Lepisosteus oculatus: one gene and its partner. The protein of the gene in region 1 purifies or fractionates together with the protein of each later gene. This does not show direct contact. Links are inferred from orthologs where the notes say so. Each region holds a gene or a part of one and is shown in the gene's direction. Other genes may lie near its edges.

Region 1 (7,699 bases):
AGACCCTGCAATGACCCTTGACCCCCTCATGACCCTTGACCCCCTCACGACCCTGATTCGCATGGAAAGGTGCTTTATTTCCCGACGAGCTCTGGTAGTACGTAACCCCCATCCCTGTGTGAAATCCTCCTAGGAGGAGCTCACTGATCTCCTAAAGGCCCGGAAACAGGGGACGACATCGGAGGGCCTCCCCAGGAAGTGGCACTGCTGTTGTGCGTCACGAGAGACAGCGCGATCCATCGGGAAGTGACGTCTCCCTGCCAAAGTGTCCGCCCCTCCGTGGAGCAGACCGGGTCGGAGCTGTTTCCCTGGTTCCCCTCTGGAGAGGGGATTCACAGCTTGGAAAAATCACCCCGATACTGACCCCCGGCACTGAAGGAGAGGCCAGCGGGAGGGTGGTCAGTCACGCTGACCCTGCGTGTGTCCTTGCCGGGCCCCTGCAGGAGCGGACAGGCAGCTGGTGTCCGGTCAGTGGCCACAGAGTGACCGGCAGGCCCCTTCCTGCTCCGAGACGCTGTGCTGAGCTGTACTGCGGCTGAGACGCACCGTGACCGAGCCCAGAGGGGGGTGGGGGTGGGAGTGGGAGTGGGGGTTGGGGGGGATTGTACATCTGTGGGAGTGAGAGGGGTGCTCGTTAATAGCATCGTCTGTGTGTGCGGGCGCGTGGCTGCGGGTGTGTGTGTGTGAGGGTGTATCAGTGCCTGTGTGTGTGAGTGAGATTAAGAGGCTCAGCTCTGTGTTTGAAATGAAAGCTTGTGCAGAAAAGAGTTTCTACCTGAGAGTCTCAACACAATGGCATTAACTTCCACAATAAATCTTGTGGAAAGATGAGGATATTTATAGGCTTCCACAGAGCTATAAAAATCCTTCTTGGCTTTTGTTCCTCAATGAAAGATATGTACTTTTAAAACACGCTTATATACGGTGTCAGTATGATCTGTATGCAATTCTCTAGTGCTGTGGTGCTTGTTTGCACTGTCAGGATTTTATACGGTGGTTATATAAAGCATCAGGGTCTCTATAGGGCTTGTATCCACTATCAGGGTCTCTATAGGGCTTGTCTACAGTCTCAGGGTCTCTACAGGGCTTGTCTACAGTCTCGGGGACTCTATGGAGCTTGTATACACTCTCGGGGTCTCTACAGTTCTTGTATACAGTCGCGGGGTCTCTACAGTTCTTGTATACAGTCTCGGGGTCTCTATAGGGCTTGTCTACAGTCTCGGGGTCTCTATAGGGCTTGTCTACAGTGTCTGTATTCTCACTAGAAGTTCCTTTAAAGCTAAGCATCATCTGAGTGATCCTTAGAATGAAAGAGCTTCTAGAGGAAGATCAGAACCAACAGCAGTCCAGCTGGGCCCGTTCAGCCCGGTCCGCACGTTTCTCGACGGTCCCGGGACACTCCGCCCCAGCGCCGAGTTCTCCCAGGTTCTTCCAACGCCCAGCGACCTCCGGTGCGAAGCATCAGTGTCCCGCGGGCTCCGTGTCCACCCTGGGCTTCAGACCACGGCTCCAGCGGATCCCGGGATCGCTGGCATCGGGATCAGATCCCCCGGGACGCCCCTCTCTTCCCGATCCACCGGCCAGCGCTGGCCCCTGCCCTTTCATACGGCACGTCCATCAAAAGGTCGCCACAGCTCAGCTGATAATAACACAGATTAGGGCCTATAAATAGGCAGCACACTGGGCACCGCGGACCAGCGCAGGAGTGAGTCAGCGAAAGAGCCTCGTCCGTCTGCCGAGCCAGGGGGAGAGAGCCCTGGGTCGCACCCCTGTCCCGGAGAGCCTGACCCGCCGGGACAGCACCAGTCCCGCCCACGCCGGGCTCAGGGGTGCCCCCGGACTTCCTACACGGTGGCGTCCAGGGGCCCTGAGAAAGACACCTGACACAGCGCCGTTACACTCTCGGCTGGCGTGTCAGGGAGACCAGAGATCACTGGAGATCACAGGAGATCACTGGAGATCACTGGAGATCACTGGAGACTTGTGATCTCTGTAGCCCTCCAACCTTTACCCCTCCCACTCCAGTATGAAGAGCTAGCGTCACACTCCGCACGACAGGACAGAGCAGATAAGCGACACTTCTCTCGCTGGATGAAAGTCCGGGAACTTATCTCTTCCAAGTCTAAAGGACAGAAGGCCCGTGCAGCTGATCGACCTGACCTTCCAGGTGGCTCTAAACCGCTGATTAAGCGTGACCTATAAACCGCGCGGGGCCGCGGCTCTCCTGGGCCTGGCGGGGCCGTGCAGCAGATCTGGGGAAGAGCACATTCAATAGTCTATATTTAGCGTGAGCGAGCTCGCACACACCAACTGCACATCTGAACACCAGCCAACTCAGTCCAGCGGAGCTGGGAACCGTCTCCCCCTCTCTCTCTCTCCCACCCCCCTCCTCGTCTCTTTCTCCTCCTGTTTCTCATCTGGACAAATACACACCCACCTCGGGGTTTTTTTTTTGCTGCTGACAGGGTTTAAAAATAAAATTGCGGCAGCTATAATTTAGACACCAGCGAGCAAAGTGGTTTCCATAGAAACCCGGGACCCACCACACTGCCTGAACGTCCCGGAGCCGCGGGCGGGGGCCGGGGGCGCGGGGTGGGACGGGGGCAGCCCGGGCCCCTGGCCTGGCCGGTGTGCTGTCCCGAGCCGACACACGGCAAGTCCCGGCTCGGGATCGTCAGACTGCGGCGGGGTTGATGGGAAAAGTTTGCTCCATGCCTAATTAGCTCGACTGTCTGAACTGGAGTGACTTTGAGATGCTTTGGCATAAGCATCCTTTACACAAAGGGTGGTGAGAGTGGGGAACAAGACAGTATTTTCAAACCCAGAGACCTGGCGTCTTTCTTCGGTCGTGGTCACGTCACGTGACACCTGCCCCTCCAGAAGACGCGCTGTCCTCTTTCGAGGGGAAACGGGAAAGGGGTCCCCCACAGGCCCAGGTCACAGGACCGCAGGACAACAGGTTAGGGTGACCTCGGAGAGCAGGGCTGGCCTGGGCGATCCGGAAGGCCCGCCGATCGGCGAATACAGGTGGAGACTAGTCCCGGTTCCGGTCCCGCCCGCTAAAAATAAGACGCACACCGCTGCAGCCCAGAGCAGCTGGCGCTGGTGGGGGCTAACAGTCACCAGGAGCCGCTGAGCAGGGGATCTGAGAGGGCCCCCCCAGGAGGAGGAGGGGGGGCCCGGCCTCCGGGGGGCTGAGACAGGGCGAGCAGCTGACTTCTCGCCCGGATTTGGAAGCATTCCTCTGCCGGACGGGAATCCTGACAGCGTGTGCTTCCCTTGCCTCCCGATCGGTTAAGCCTGCTGCTGGGTCCATCATCCAGCCATTTTCTGAGCACGTCTGCCAGTTCAAGGGTCATGTGGGAGCTGGAGTCTATCCCAGCAAGCAACGGGCGCCAGGCGGGGTTCGCCCTGGACAGGACGCCAGTCCATCCCGGGACACAGCCCAGAGGAAACCCACGCAAACACTGGGAGAACATGCAAACTCCACACAGACAGCACCTCAGGTCCAGAACTGAACCCCGGGCCCCAGCACAGCGAGGCAGCAACACTGAGAGCTGCACCACTGTGCCTCCCCCAATCCCCTCACCCCCTCACCCTCTCATTCCCTCACCCCCTCACCTTCTCATCCCCCAATCCTCTCACCCCCTCACCCTCTCATCCCCTCACCTTCTCATCCCCCAATCCTCTCACCCCCTCACCTTCTCATCCCCCAATCCTCTCACCCCCTCACCTTCTCATCCCCTCACCCCCTCACCTTCTCATCCCCCAATCCTCTCACCCTCTCACCCCCTCACCCCCTCACCTTCTCATCCCCCAATCCTCTCACCCCCTTACCTTCTCATCCCCCAATCCTCTCACCCCTCACCCTCTCATCCCCTCACCCCCTCACCTTCTCATCCCCCAATCCTCTCACCCCCTCACCCTCTCATCCCCCAATCCTCTCACCCCCTCACCTTCTCATCCCCTCACCATTTCAGCCCCTCACCCTCTCACCTCTCACCCCCTCACCTTCTCATCCCCTCACCCTATCACCTTCTCACCCTCTCACCTCTCACCCCCTCACCTCACCCCTCACACTCTCACCCCCTCACCTCACCACCTCTCACCATACACAGGGACCCACAGTGCACAAATTAACAACACACACTGATACACAGCTCACACACTCACAGCACACCAGACACAGTACACAAACTAACAACACACACTGATGCACAGCACTGTCACACACTCACAGCACACTACACACAGTACACAAACTAACAACACACACTGATACACAGCACTGTCACACACTCACAGCACACCAGACACAGTACACAAACTAACAACACACACTGATGCACAGCACTGTCACACACTCACAAAACACTACACACAGTACACAAACTAACAACACACACTGATGCACTGTCACACACTCACAGCACACCACACACAGTACACAAACTAACAACACACACTGATGCGCTGTCACACACTCACAGCACACCACACACGGATGCACAGCACCGTCACACACTCGCAGCACGCGCCGCGCCGAGGACCCGTCCACGCCGTGAGCGCACGCGGGCTGCTGACGCCCAGACCCACACGGCTCGCTCTCCCCGCGCCGTCAGAGAGAGAGCGAGCGAGCGCGCGCGAGCCAGCCGCCGGGATTAACACAGGGAGCAGAGGAGCCGTCCGGACACGAAGGAAACCAGGTGGCTCGGGGACGGACCGGCGAGTTCAGAGACCGCACCGGCGGGGCGGCAGGAGGAAGCGCGGGTTCGGGGGGAAGAAGTTTTCCAGCCCTGTGGCGCTGCGAGGAGCGGGCGCGGGGAGGGTGCGCGGGGATACGACACCGCTCCGGGATATCTACTCCACGGGCAGTCCCCGCTCCACAGTTACAGGGACACGGAGGGGTCTGGGGCCGCTCCGGGAGCAGCGCGGCGCGGCGGCGGGACGTGGGATTTGGGATCGAGCGAGGGAGTCGCGTGGACCCCCCGCCCGGGCCCGCGGGAGGAGTGGGCTCCCCACGAGACGGTCCCCCCCACGGAGGAAGGTAAGCGCCTTACCCGCCGGCTCCAGACTGCCTCTCTAACTTCCACACGCCGCGAGCAGGGTTGGGGTGCCGGGGGGTCTGGGCTCACGAGCCGACGCTACAGCCATAAGCTTATTAAGGCGTTTGCATAAGAACCCCCAATAACAACAACAACAACAACAACAACAACTTCTTTCTACACTGAGGGAAAGAGAACCGTTTCGTGCACAAGTGTTGGTATTATTATTATTATTATTATTATTATTATTATTATCGCAGAACTTCAGCGATTTGTCACAAAACGTCCTGTTCCGCCTGGGAGACGGGCCGGGTGTTCGTTGGGAACAGTGCGGTGAGCCCGTGCGGAGGATGGATATCGGAACCGCGTAGTTCGGTTTCCTCAGCCGCTCGGGGGGCTCGCCACTCTCCTCTCCACGGGCGCGAGGAGAGCGCAGCTGCGTGGAGCCCACGCGCGCAGAATCCCCCCCCTCCCCTCCCACGAGAGCCCGCGACGCCGGTGGCGGTTCGGCTTGGCTTCGGTGGGCGTCTCAGAGAGCGGGTCCCGAGCGGTGTCAGACCAGACCGGACCGGTCTGGACCGGACCCGCGCCCCCGCGCGCGCCGGGTGCTCACCTGTTGTTTCCCCGTCACGGAAAGACACCTGCGTGCTTCCCTGCGTGAGACCGGTCTCAAACCATCCCCCCCGCGTGGCATTGATTTCGTGTCGCGAAGAGTTTGAGGAACATGCTTCTAATGAGGCGTTATTTTTTATTTTTTTGTACAATGGAAGAGATTGCTACTCGCGGTCGTGCGTGTGTGTGGGGGGAGGCAAGTTGCTTTTCAATTTTGAAAGATGGTCGAGATTCTAAAACCCGTCTTTTATTTTTAAACAGATAGATTAAGATTCACACACAGATAAATCCAAACTCAGACACAGATAGATTCAGATTCACGCACAGGTGAATCCGGATTCACGCACAGAGTGCTGTATATTCGGATTTACACCTGAACACCTCCAGCAGCGACCCTCGCCCGGGAGACGCATTTGTATTCACCTGCTGGCCTTCTCGCGCCCCTCGGGGCCAGTTCCCCCAGTTCCCCCAGTAGCGCTGCTTTTCAGCTGCGTCGTGTCGCTGCGACACAAAACCCCAAACCAGACACTACCCGTTTCCCCGGGGCGCAGTTCTGGCCTCCTGGAGCGACTGCCCCCCGGGAGAAAATCTCCCCAAGCAGGAGAGGAGAGTCAGGGACCACCGGCCTGGCGCGCTACAGAGGCCCCCAGCCCCACGAGCGGAGAGTCGAGCTCTTCCTCCAACTTTCTTCTGAACGACACGGGGACACAAACCGCCATCGCTCCAGCGCGAAGAGCGCCGCTTTCGCAGGTCGGGCCGGAGAGCAGCACAGGCGTGTCGTGTGGCCCAACTTCACGCGGAATTCAGGATTTTGGCTCCGAACTGTTCCGGTTTCAGTGTTGCACAGACCCAGCCTGACGGCTCCGGCACCACTGACCGCGACAGCGACCGCGACAGCTGAACCGCGCGGCAGTTTCAGTTTCCTCCTGACATCGGCCTGTAGAGGAGGACAGGCAGGGTGTGATCGGGGAGGCGGTACCGTGCAGGTTCTGGTGCGGGTTCTGGTGGGCAGGACGCCTCGGTGGACAGGACGGGGAAGCGGGCAGAACCCCCGGCCACTCCGGCCGAGGGGGGGCGCGAACCGCAGGCAGAAGTTCGGCTCGGCGGCTCGTTCGCGCCGGGCCGGACCGGACCGGCGGACCCCGGGCTGGAGACGCGCGCGGGGCAGGAGCGGCGGCGGCGAGGGGGGGCGCGTTCACGGGGGCGCAGGCGGGCGCATGCATCGACCCGCACTGAGCCGGCCGAGCCCAGGCGCACACACGGGCTCGGAGGCGGACAGCGATGATGATGATGACCAGTAAACCTGGAGTCCTCATCAAGCGGTCCAGCGCTTGAACCCGCGGACGCCCGGTCGGTTTAAAGGGAACACTGCCTCTGGGGGACTCGCTGTCAGTGGGCGACAGCCCCCCTGTTTCCTGAAGGGCCGTGTGTTCTCACAGGCGGTATATGTCGGGCGGGAATCGACACTTTGAAAGCAGGTTTTCCTTCCGTTTCGAGTTGGGGTAGTCCGTGTGAACTGTTATTGCCGTGTGCGGGACATGTCCTGTTGCTCAAAGTAAAATCAAGTGTTTCAGGTCCAGTACAGGCCGAAAAAGACACCCAGTAAAGTTGCTCAGGAGAGAGGGAGTGGGTGGCAGCCCTGTTCCAGCACCTGGGGGCTTGCTAGCCTCCTGGTGTGATTGTTGAAGACGTGGTCAGCTGTGGAAGGCAGGTCGTGGAGGTTATTGCAGAGTATCAGCGCCAGAAGCAGGGAGCTGCTCTGCATACTTTGCACAGCAGCACAGCAGCACAGTGCTGAGGCGGCTTCAGGACCGTCCGCCTCCGGACAGCTCCCCTGCCAGCTTCAGCACTGCGCAGGCCAGGACACCTCCACACCACAGCGCCTCATACACACGAGACAGCACCAGATTCCAGCACAGCCCAGCGCTGGACAGCTCCTGACTGGGTCTCAGCAACGCCAGTGTGAGCAGACAGACAGACAGACAGACAGACAGACAGACAGACAGACAGACAGACAGCTCCTGACTGGGTCTCAGCCCCAC
Region 2 (7,782 bases), on another chromosome or scaffold:
CAGCGCAGGTGTGTGTGAGACACCTGTGTGTGCTTGTAAAACCCTGTGTGCATCTTTGTGAAATCTGTGCATGCGAGTGAGTGTGTGAAATCCTGTGTGTATGTTTGTGAAACCTATGAGTGTGTGTGTGTGTGAGAAACCAGTGTGTGTGTGAAATCCTGTGTGTGTCTTTGTGAAACCTGTGTGTATGAGTGGAGGAAATGAATGTGTGTGTGAAATCCTGTGTGTGTCTTTGTGAAACCTGTGTGTATGAGTGGAGGAAATGAATGTGTGTGTGAAATCCTGTGTGTGTCTTTGTGACACCTGTGTACTGTAGGTGAGTGAGTGGGGGAAATGTGTGTGTAGATTCCATTGCATGCAGGTTAGAAGAAAAGGGCAGAATGGTGCCAGCAGATCGTCCCCCAGGGGCCTTGTTCCTGCGGAAGGATGGACAGTATAAACATGAGAGTGTAACACTGGACTGGAGAGAAACCAGCTAGACCACATTCAGAAGATGGTTTTGGGAGCTGTGTTAAAGAAAGGACATTGTGTCTCAGTGGGTGATTTATTCTGTGTCTGGAGCTTCAGGTCTCTGACACAGTCAGGTGTTCAGGTGTCAGTCAGTGTCTGCCTCTCAGTGTGTCTGACTGTGATTCAGTGTGTCTTAGTGTGTGAGGTATTCAGTGCCTGGAGTCCTGAAGCTCTCTGACTGTGTCAGTCAGTGTCTGCCTCTGTGTCTGCCTCTGTGTGTCTTAGTGTGTGAGGTATTCAGTCTCTGGAGTCCTGAAGCTCTCTGACTGTGCCTGTCTGTGTCTCGCTCTGTCAGGTGTTTTCTACCTGGAGTCGGGGTCGGTCGTGGAGCTCTCTGTGCTGCGCAAGGATGCCAGACTCAAACTGGAGCCCTACTACACCTATCTGGGCCTATATCGGATCTGACTGGACCCACTGAGTACTGGAAAGGCACACTGACACAGTCAGGGCATGAGACGCGCTTAGGGATGACTGAGGGACCCTCACTGACATGCTGACACACCGAGAGAGGACTGAGACTCACTGAGGGACCCTCACACACTGAAACATGCTGACACACTGAGGGACTGAGAGACCCTCACTGACACACTGAAACACACTGACACACTGAGGGACTGAGACACAGTGAGACACTCAGAGACTGAGACACACTGAGGAAATGAGAGACCCTCACTGACACACTGAGACACACTGGCACACTGAGGGACTGAGATACACTGACACTCGCTGACACACTTCAAAAGTTGAGCTTCTACAGCATGGCTGGCAGCTTGTTCCAGACCCCCACCACTCTCTGTGTAAAAAAACACATCCTGGTCCTACACAGCACCTGCTTGCTCAGCTCAAAGCTAATTCATCTGTAGTGATTTAGCAGGTGAGAAAGACAGACAGCAACGGGCTTATTGTAGTTTTATTCACAAGAAATTTAATTTAATGTGTTTTGTCAATATATATTTTAAATAAAATATTTAAATTAAAAGTGCTGTCTGGTATGACTGAAATGTTCCAGCAATATTTAACACACACTAGCTAGAGGGTTGTCATTTCACATGGGAGAACAACAGGACATCAGCATTATCACACAGGATCTGATGTCGGGTGCCCTTATTGGCCTGATGCAGACGCTCACATGGACAAAGCCCAAGTGGGTATGAAAAGGGTTATGAGATGGATTTCGCCAAGAACGGAATTGTTGCCATTATTGTTTATTGTGACATCTAGTGGCTGATCCGCTGTTTTACAGTTACAAGGTGAAGACGGTATATCCCCATCCAAATTTCTTTTCCCAGCCGCTTCTTCCAATTCGGGGTCTCAGGGGAGCAGGAGTCTATTCTGGCAAGCAGTGGGCTCAAGGCAGGGTACACCCTGGATGGGACGCCGATCCATCGCAGGGCACACGCAGACACACTTCCACTAGAGCCAGTTTTCCCAGAACCCAGTTAAGCTTCCAGTCTGTCTTGGACTATGGGAAGAAACTGGAGCACCCAGAGAAAAAACCTGTGTGAACACAGGGAGAACATACAGACTCCGTGCAGGCTATATATCCTATCCCTTTTAACTACAGCTGGGAAACAAACTATTGTAAAAATACAATTTCAACACTGTCAGTCTTACTTGGGGTGCCGTGGCATTGAAGGTGTTATATAAATTGATAAGCATTTAAAGTTTCATTATTGTGGGGAATTGAGTGTGTATTACTGTCTCAGTGTGGGCCTGTATTAGTATCGTGCTGAGAAAATGCTCCCAAAGAGACAGCAGCTCCTGGCACACAGACGATGCTGGGGCGTCTTTACAGCGGAAGTGACTTTCTTACAAACCAGACGGCATCTTCTTTTAAATCTGAGCTCCTGAAAATACTGTCCCTCTGGTGTGGAGTTCCATTGGAGTGTGAAGGGTCAGTAACAGAGAGGAGCACACGTGTGTGTGGAGTGTGAAGGGTCAGTAACAGACAGGAGCACATGTGTGTGTGTGTGGAGTGTGAAGGGTCAGTAACAGACAGGAGCGTGTGTGTGTGTGGAGTGTGAAGGGTCAGTAACAGACAGGAGCGTGTGTGTGTGTGGAGTGTGAAGGGTCAGTAACAGACAGGAGCGTGTGTGTGTGTGGAGTGTGAAGGGTCAGTAACAGATAGGAGCACACGTGTGTGTGTGTGTGGAGTGTGAAGGGTCAGTAACAGATGTACACTTGTGTGCTGTGGGTATCAGTGAGCCGTTACGTGGCTCAGTCAGCCATGTTTGTACATGTGCTCAGTGATGACTTGGCCGTGTCTTGGAAGCAGCTGGTCGTGAGAGGTTTTCCTCCCTTCCATTCTCTCGGCCCCACTGCGCCGGCTTGCATTCCTGACCAGCCCCAGCTGCTGAAGGGCTAGGCTCCCTCACAGCCCTCAGACAGGCTACACACGAGGAGCTGCGTCCCAGCCATTCCAGCCAGACTGCCAGGACTCATCGCCCAGCCTGAAACACCCCAGAGAATGTTTTTAACACAGCCTGGCAACTTGATCCAGACACCCCCCACTCTTTGTGTAAACCGCTGCCTCCTGTCCTCAGTCCTGAATGAACTGTTCACACTTGTGTTCACTGGTAGATCCAGCGGACGACTTCAGGTCCAACTATCAAATCCAGGACTTAGAAGGCCTTTGACCACTTGTATTTTTTTTTCTGTTCACAACTAAAGGGACTATGTCCCTTTAAGATCATCCATGCGTTTTCCAATTCAGGATCGTGGGGGAGCCGGAGCCTATCCCGGGAAGCAATGGGCGCAAGGCGGGGTATACCCTGGACGGGACACAAGTCTTTAAGAGCAGGAATAATAAACCTTTTTCTTACCTCAACAGCTGTGTTTTTAATTCTGTCTGTCATGTTGCGCTGTAATCGTAATGTAAACGATTAAATGTAAACAGCTTCTTTTATTTTTCCGAACAACGGACACGCACATCTCAGCTCAGCTTCAAAACTAACTACGGCAAGTCGCCATGGACATACATGACGCTATCTTACAGCATAGTCAAGTCAATAATTCAGTCAAGGCAATGTTTCAGTTCTATAGCGCAGTTTTATTGAGGGCAGCCAGTCCAGCGGCCAGCAGGGGGCAGTGCAGCTGAGCTGGCAGCTCCTGCCAGAAGTGCTCCAGCTGTTTCAATGGTGCTTCCTGGTCCTCCTCCTCCTCCTCCTCTGGCGCTTCACACTGGACCTCCTGACTCGCCTCCTCCTGCGCACTGGACGGGACGCTCGTCTATGCCTCTTGGCCATGTCTGCGGTCTGTCCGGAAGGCGGCACTGTGCCCTTTTTAAAGCCTCCGGGGAAAAGCGGGCACCCCCCCCTAGTCGTCATCTACGTCACAGCTTGTAGTTATGACGCGTGGATGACATCATATCCCTGTTTAACAAAACAGTCTGTCGGGCCCCAGCAAAGAGTGCGGTTTCCCCCTGCTTTCATCACTCAGCGCCAGCCCAGTGAAAGCACCAAAACAAAATAAAACCAGTTTTATTTCAAGTGGTGTTTCAAGCAGTTAAACTCAACATTATGTTTTGGAAACTTAAAATATTTGTTTAAGAGCCGTTTTAAAGGGTTAAATCGAAAGCTATAATTATTATTTGTATTGGGACACACTGTTTTCAATAAATACATTTATTTATGCAGTCGTTTATAAACACACGGTCCGGAGAATATTACCCAAGTGAACTACAGCACCACTCTCGTCCACGTCAGTATTAAGCGGCACCGTAAATCTGGTCTTGTATAGCATGCTTTCATTCTGTAATACGGCATGCAAAAAGTTTAATCATGAGGTTATTTTATAGCTTAAGTAGTATCCTTTAACGCAAGTATTCCTTTCGACTAAATACGGTCTTAATAAAACAATATCGTGGTCGAGAGCAGGAGCCAGAACTGCATTTCCCAGAAGTCCCCCGTGGGATTTCTAAAGAGGGTTAGAAGCAGTTGCTCCGGAGGGACGGGGGGATTAAGGGACAGGAGAAAGTCGAGAGGGAGGGAGTAAGAGAGAGGGAGAATGCCGCTGAGGAAACAGGGTGAGTGTCGGAGCCGGTCTCGGCCTCAGTCCCGGTTCGTCTCCGTTACAGGTCGGGTAGGGGGTTCGGTACCCAGAGTTCCCGCCCAAACGCCCTTCTCGAGCGAGAAACCCGGGTCTGCGTGCGTGTCTAGAGCGCGCGCCGTCTGCGAGTCGGCGCTTCAGGGCCCCACGGCTCCGTGGGACACAGACCCAGAACTTTCCGTGACGAGACAGGAGACTTTTGTGTGGAGGTGTGTTTTTGAGTGTTTAACCGACAGAAGTCGTGTGAAGGAGAGCGGCCGGAGCCCGGAGTCACCTGTCCGCCGGCTGTCCGCTGAAACCCGTCACTGCCTTTCGAGGAATGACATTTAAAACCGCGAACAGGCAGCACTTCTTTACAGAAAGGGTTGTGGGGGCATGGAACAAGCAGTCCAGACAAGTTGAAGCCGATAACCTGGCTTCTTTCAAAGTACAGCATTTAAAACTGCAAACAGGAGGCACTTCTTTACACAAAGAGTGGTGGGAGTGTGGGATTAGCTGCCCAAGCACACTGAGGCTGATAACACCGCCTTCTTTCCAAGAATTGCATTTGAAATTGAGAATTGGTGGGGGAGATACATCTTTACCCAAGAGGGTGGGAGTGTTGAACAAGTGTTGTTGAGCTAGTTCAAGAAGTGGCTGGGTGATGCGATCCTGGGACCAGCTAGCTACTATCTGCCAAACAGGCTTAACAGGCAGTGGTTTACCAGACAGAATAAAAGTCACCAGAAGGAAGAGAAATTCAGAAACTGTCCCAATTATTATTTTCATGGCAGGGTGGGCCATATTTAAAAAAAAAGAAGAAATGACCCGTTCAACTAAACTGTTTCACTTTAACAGACGGTAGTGGAGTAGAGAGTGGAAGTCCTGATCTTTTTAACCGTTTCAAAGTAGATTGATAACTGGTTTCAGGTGGACAAAGAAGACCCCGAGACACTGTTATTTATGTGTACTGTAAGAAGGCAGTCCTTGCCTGCCCAGAGAGGGGCGAACGGCTCTCTTACAGCACGCAGCGATGTCCTCCCCAGGTGTCCACCTCTCTCCCAGTAGCTCTCACTTCTATAACCGCCTGCCTGTCCGTCTCTGTCCTCCCGGCCCAGACACGGAGAAAGCCCTGCGCTTGATGGAGGAGTGTCAGTCGGAGACCGGCGACGAGGGGTTCCGGGCTCGGGCCGAGAAGCTCCTGAACATCTTCCAGAGCGACCTCTTCCAGGCCCTGCTGGGTGAGGCTGCAGGTTGGGTTAGGCTACAGGCTGTGTTTCGATGGGAGGTTCCCGTTTCGAACCCCACCTCCTCCTCCTCCCACCCCCCACAGAGCTGTGCCCCCGTCTCCCTGATGGAGCTTCTGTGGGCAAGCTGTGGATATCCTGTCCAGCACCTGTTGTGCCCCAGGTAACTGTCCAGTTGGCCCCCCTGCCCTACGAATCAACAGCCCAGGCTGATGCAAGCGGACAGGTGCCCAGAAAGACGCAGGCTGGCGCTGTTGCACGGCCGAAAGGACGCCCAGGCCTGTTTAAGGCCACCCAACCCTGAAGGCCCCAAGCCAACTGTACCCACTTTTGGGGGAACACCAGTCACAGTGGGGCGAATGAGGGCCCAGAGCAGAACCAGCACTGTCTGGACTGTAGGGGCTCAGCCTGCTCCCTGATCGAGCGCCTTCACTGGCTGAGCCCCATCAGGAGCCCCCAGGCTGGGCTGTTTCTAAGAGATTTTGGAAACCTTCTGGACGTGGGCCTCCTCGGGAGCACAGACACGGGGCCTCTTCGTTGTACAGCCCTAGGTGCAACTCCACTCTGCCCCCTGCAGCCTGACCAGAGGAACAGTATGAACACAGGGGGCGAGGATGAGACACAGGGGCCTTAACTGTCTGGGGTCTGTAAAACTGTACAGGAGGGGGGTCCCCTCTACCTCTGTGTCTTCCCCTGTCGCCCCTCTCTCGCTTTCCACCCCCCTCTTTCAGATCTCACACTCCGTCTCTCCCAGCCTCTCTCTCTCCCTCTGCCTATCTGTCTATATTTAGTGGGGATGTAATCTGCTGGTTTAGCTGAGGCGGAGGGATTAGAGCTGAGAGGCTCTTGCAGCACTGCCCGATTAAGAGCAGATCATCCAGGAAGCTTGTCACGGAGGCACGGCAGGCAGGCCGAGAGAGAGACGGGAGGAATGAGGCTGAGAGCTGCTGTTTTCTGCTCTGCACCCACTGTGTGGATGGGGCGCTTGGGCTGTGGGATGAATCACAGACATACAGTACTCAGACAGCCAGCAGGTCAGGCAGGCTGGCTGATCCCTGACTGACAGACTGCCCGCTCTGCAAAACCTGGGGTGGATTCGACAGCAGTGCGGCGGGGGTCTCTGTTCCTCGGTGGCTCCCTCTGTCTCTCTTCCTGCCCCTCACACTCTCCCAATCTCCCTGCCTTCTCTCGCTCACTCCCCTCTCTCTGGTTCTCTCTCCCCAGATATCCAGGAGTTCTATGAAGTGACTGTGTGTGAGAGTCGGCTGGTGGGTCGACCTCGGACTCCTGTGCTGGTAGGACTTGGGTTTTACAGCTCCACAGGGATGTGTGTGTGTGTGTGTGCGCTGGGGAAAACACTATCCCAGACTGCCCAATGGTTCTTTCATCCTGAAGTGCCTTTCTGCCCTGCAGTTTCACACCTCTTCCACTAGAGGACAGGAGATGTCCACAGCTGGCACAGTGTCTCGGGCACTGGTTCCCAGCCCCAGCAACTGCAGGAGCACTGTGTCTGCTGGTCTTCACTCTGTCTGCGCTCTTTGATCTGCTTGATCAGTTTAGACTTTATTTTACCGGTTTCTTCAGCCAGTCCCGATTGTGAAAAATACACAACTTCCGGTTTCCAGCACATCCCGCACTGAGATCTTCACACAGCCTCTACTTGCCATGGTTACCGGTTGGTCATTTGATGATGAGCAGACACACGTGGGAGTGACAGTGTATCAGAAGTGCACACGATGAAAAATATAAATAGAAAGTGTCCTACGTGTGCAGGGTAAAGGAAATACAGTAAGTCTCTTTAGCTCCACGCAGAGGGCGGTAGGTGGGGACATGAGACAAGATACCGCAGGGTTCAAGACAAACTCAGCTCTGTAGACGTAGGGTGAACTGTGAAGCAAGGGGCCCAGCTGCACTGTTGAAGCCGGCTCTGTGGGATCCTTCGAGAAGTGGTTAGGTAATGGGTTCCCGGTGAGCTACTAATGAGCTACTGAACTCAGCT

The links.
Region 2: the proteins of ATP-sensitive inward rectifier potassium channel 12 (region 1) and disks large homolog 4-like purify together in Homo sapiens (affinity purification with western blotting, with the first as the bait; 3 studies listed by BioGRID). This does not show direct contact. The link is inferred for Lepisosteus oculatus from reciprocal best matches to the Homo sapiens genes KCNJ4 and DLG4.

Annotation. Positions count from the first base shown.
Region 1 is NC_090707.1:38,762,753-38,770,451, reverse strand, and holds the start of ATP-sensitive inward rectifier potassium channel 12, read left to right. Parts: upstream 1-4,383; 5' UTR 4,384-5,047; intron 5,048-7,699. UniProt on the Homo sapiens protein: Inward rectifier potassium channels are characterized by a greater tendency to allow potassium to flow into the cell rather than out of it.
Region 2 is NC_090698.1:10,878,202-10,885,983, reverse strand, and holds the start of disks large homolog 4-like, read left to right. Parts: upstream 1-4,252; 5' UTR 4,253-4,515; coding exon 4,516-4,534; exon of another isoform or gene 4,535-4,766; intron 4,767-5,654; coding exon 5,655-5,777; intron 5,778-7,007; coding exon 7,008-7,078; intron 7,079-7,782. Other genes in the region: tnfsf13 (tumor necrosis factor ligand superfamily member 13), read left to right, coding at 1-8, 806-915. UniProt on the Homo sapiens protein: Postsynaptic scaffolding protein that plays a critical role in synaptogenesis and synaptic plasticity by providing a platform for the postsynaptic clustering of crucial synaptic proteins.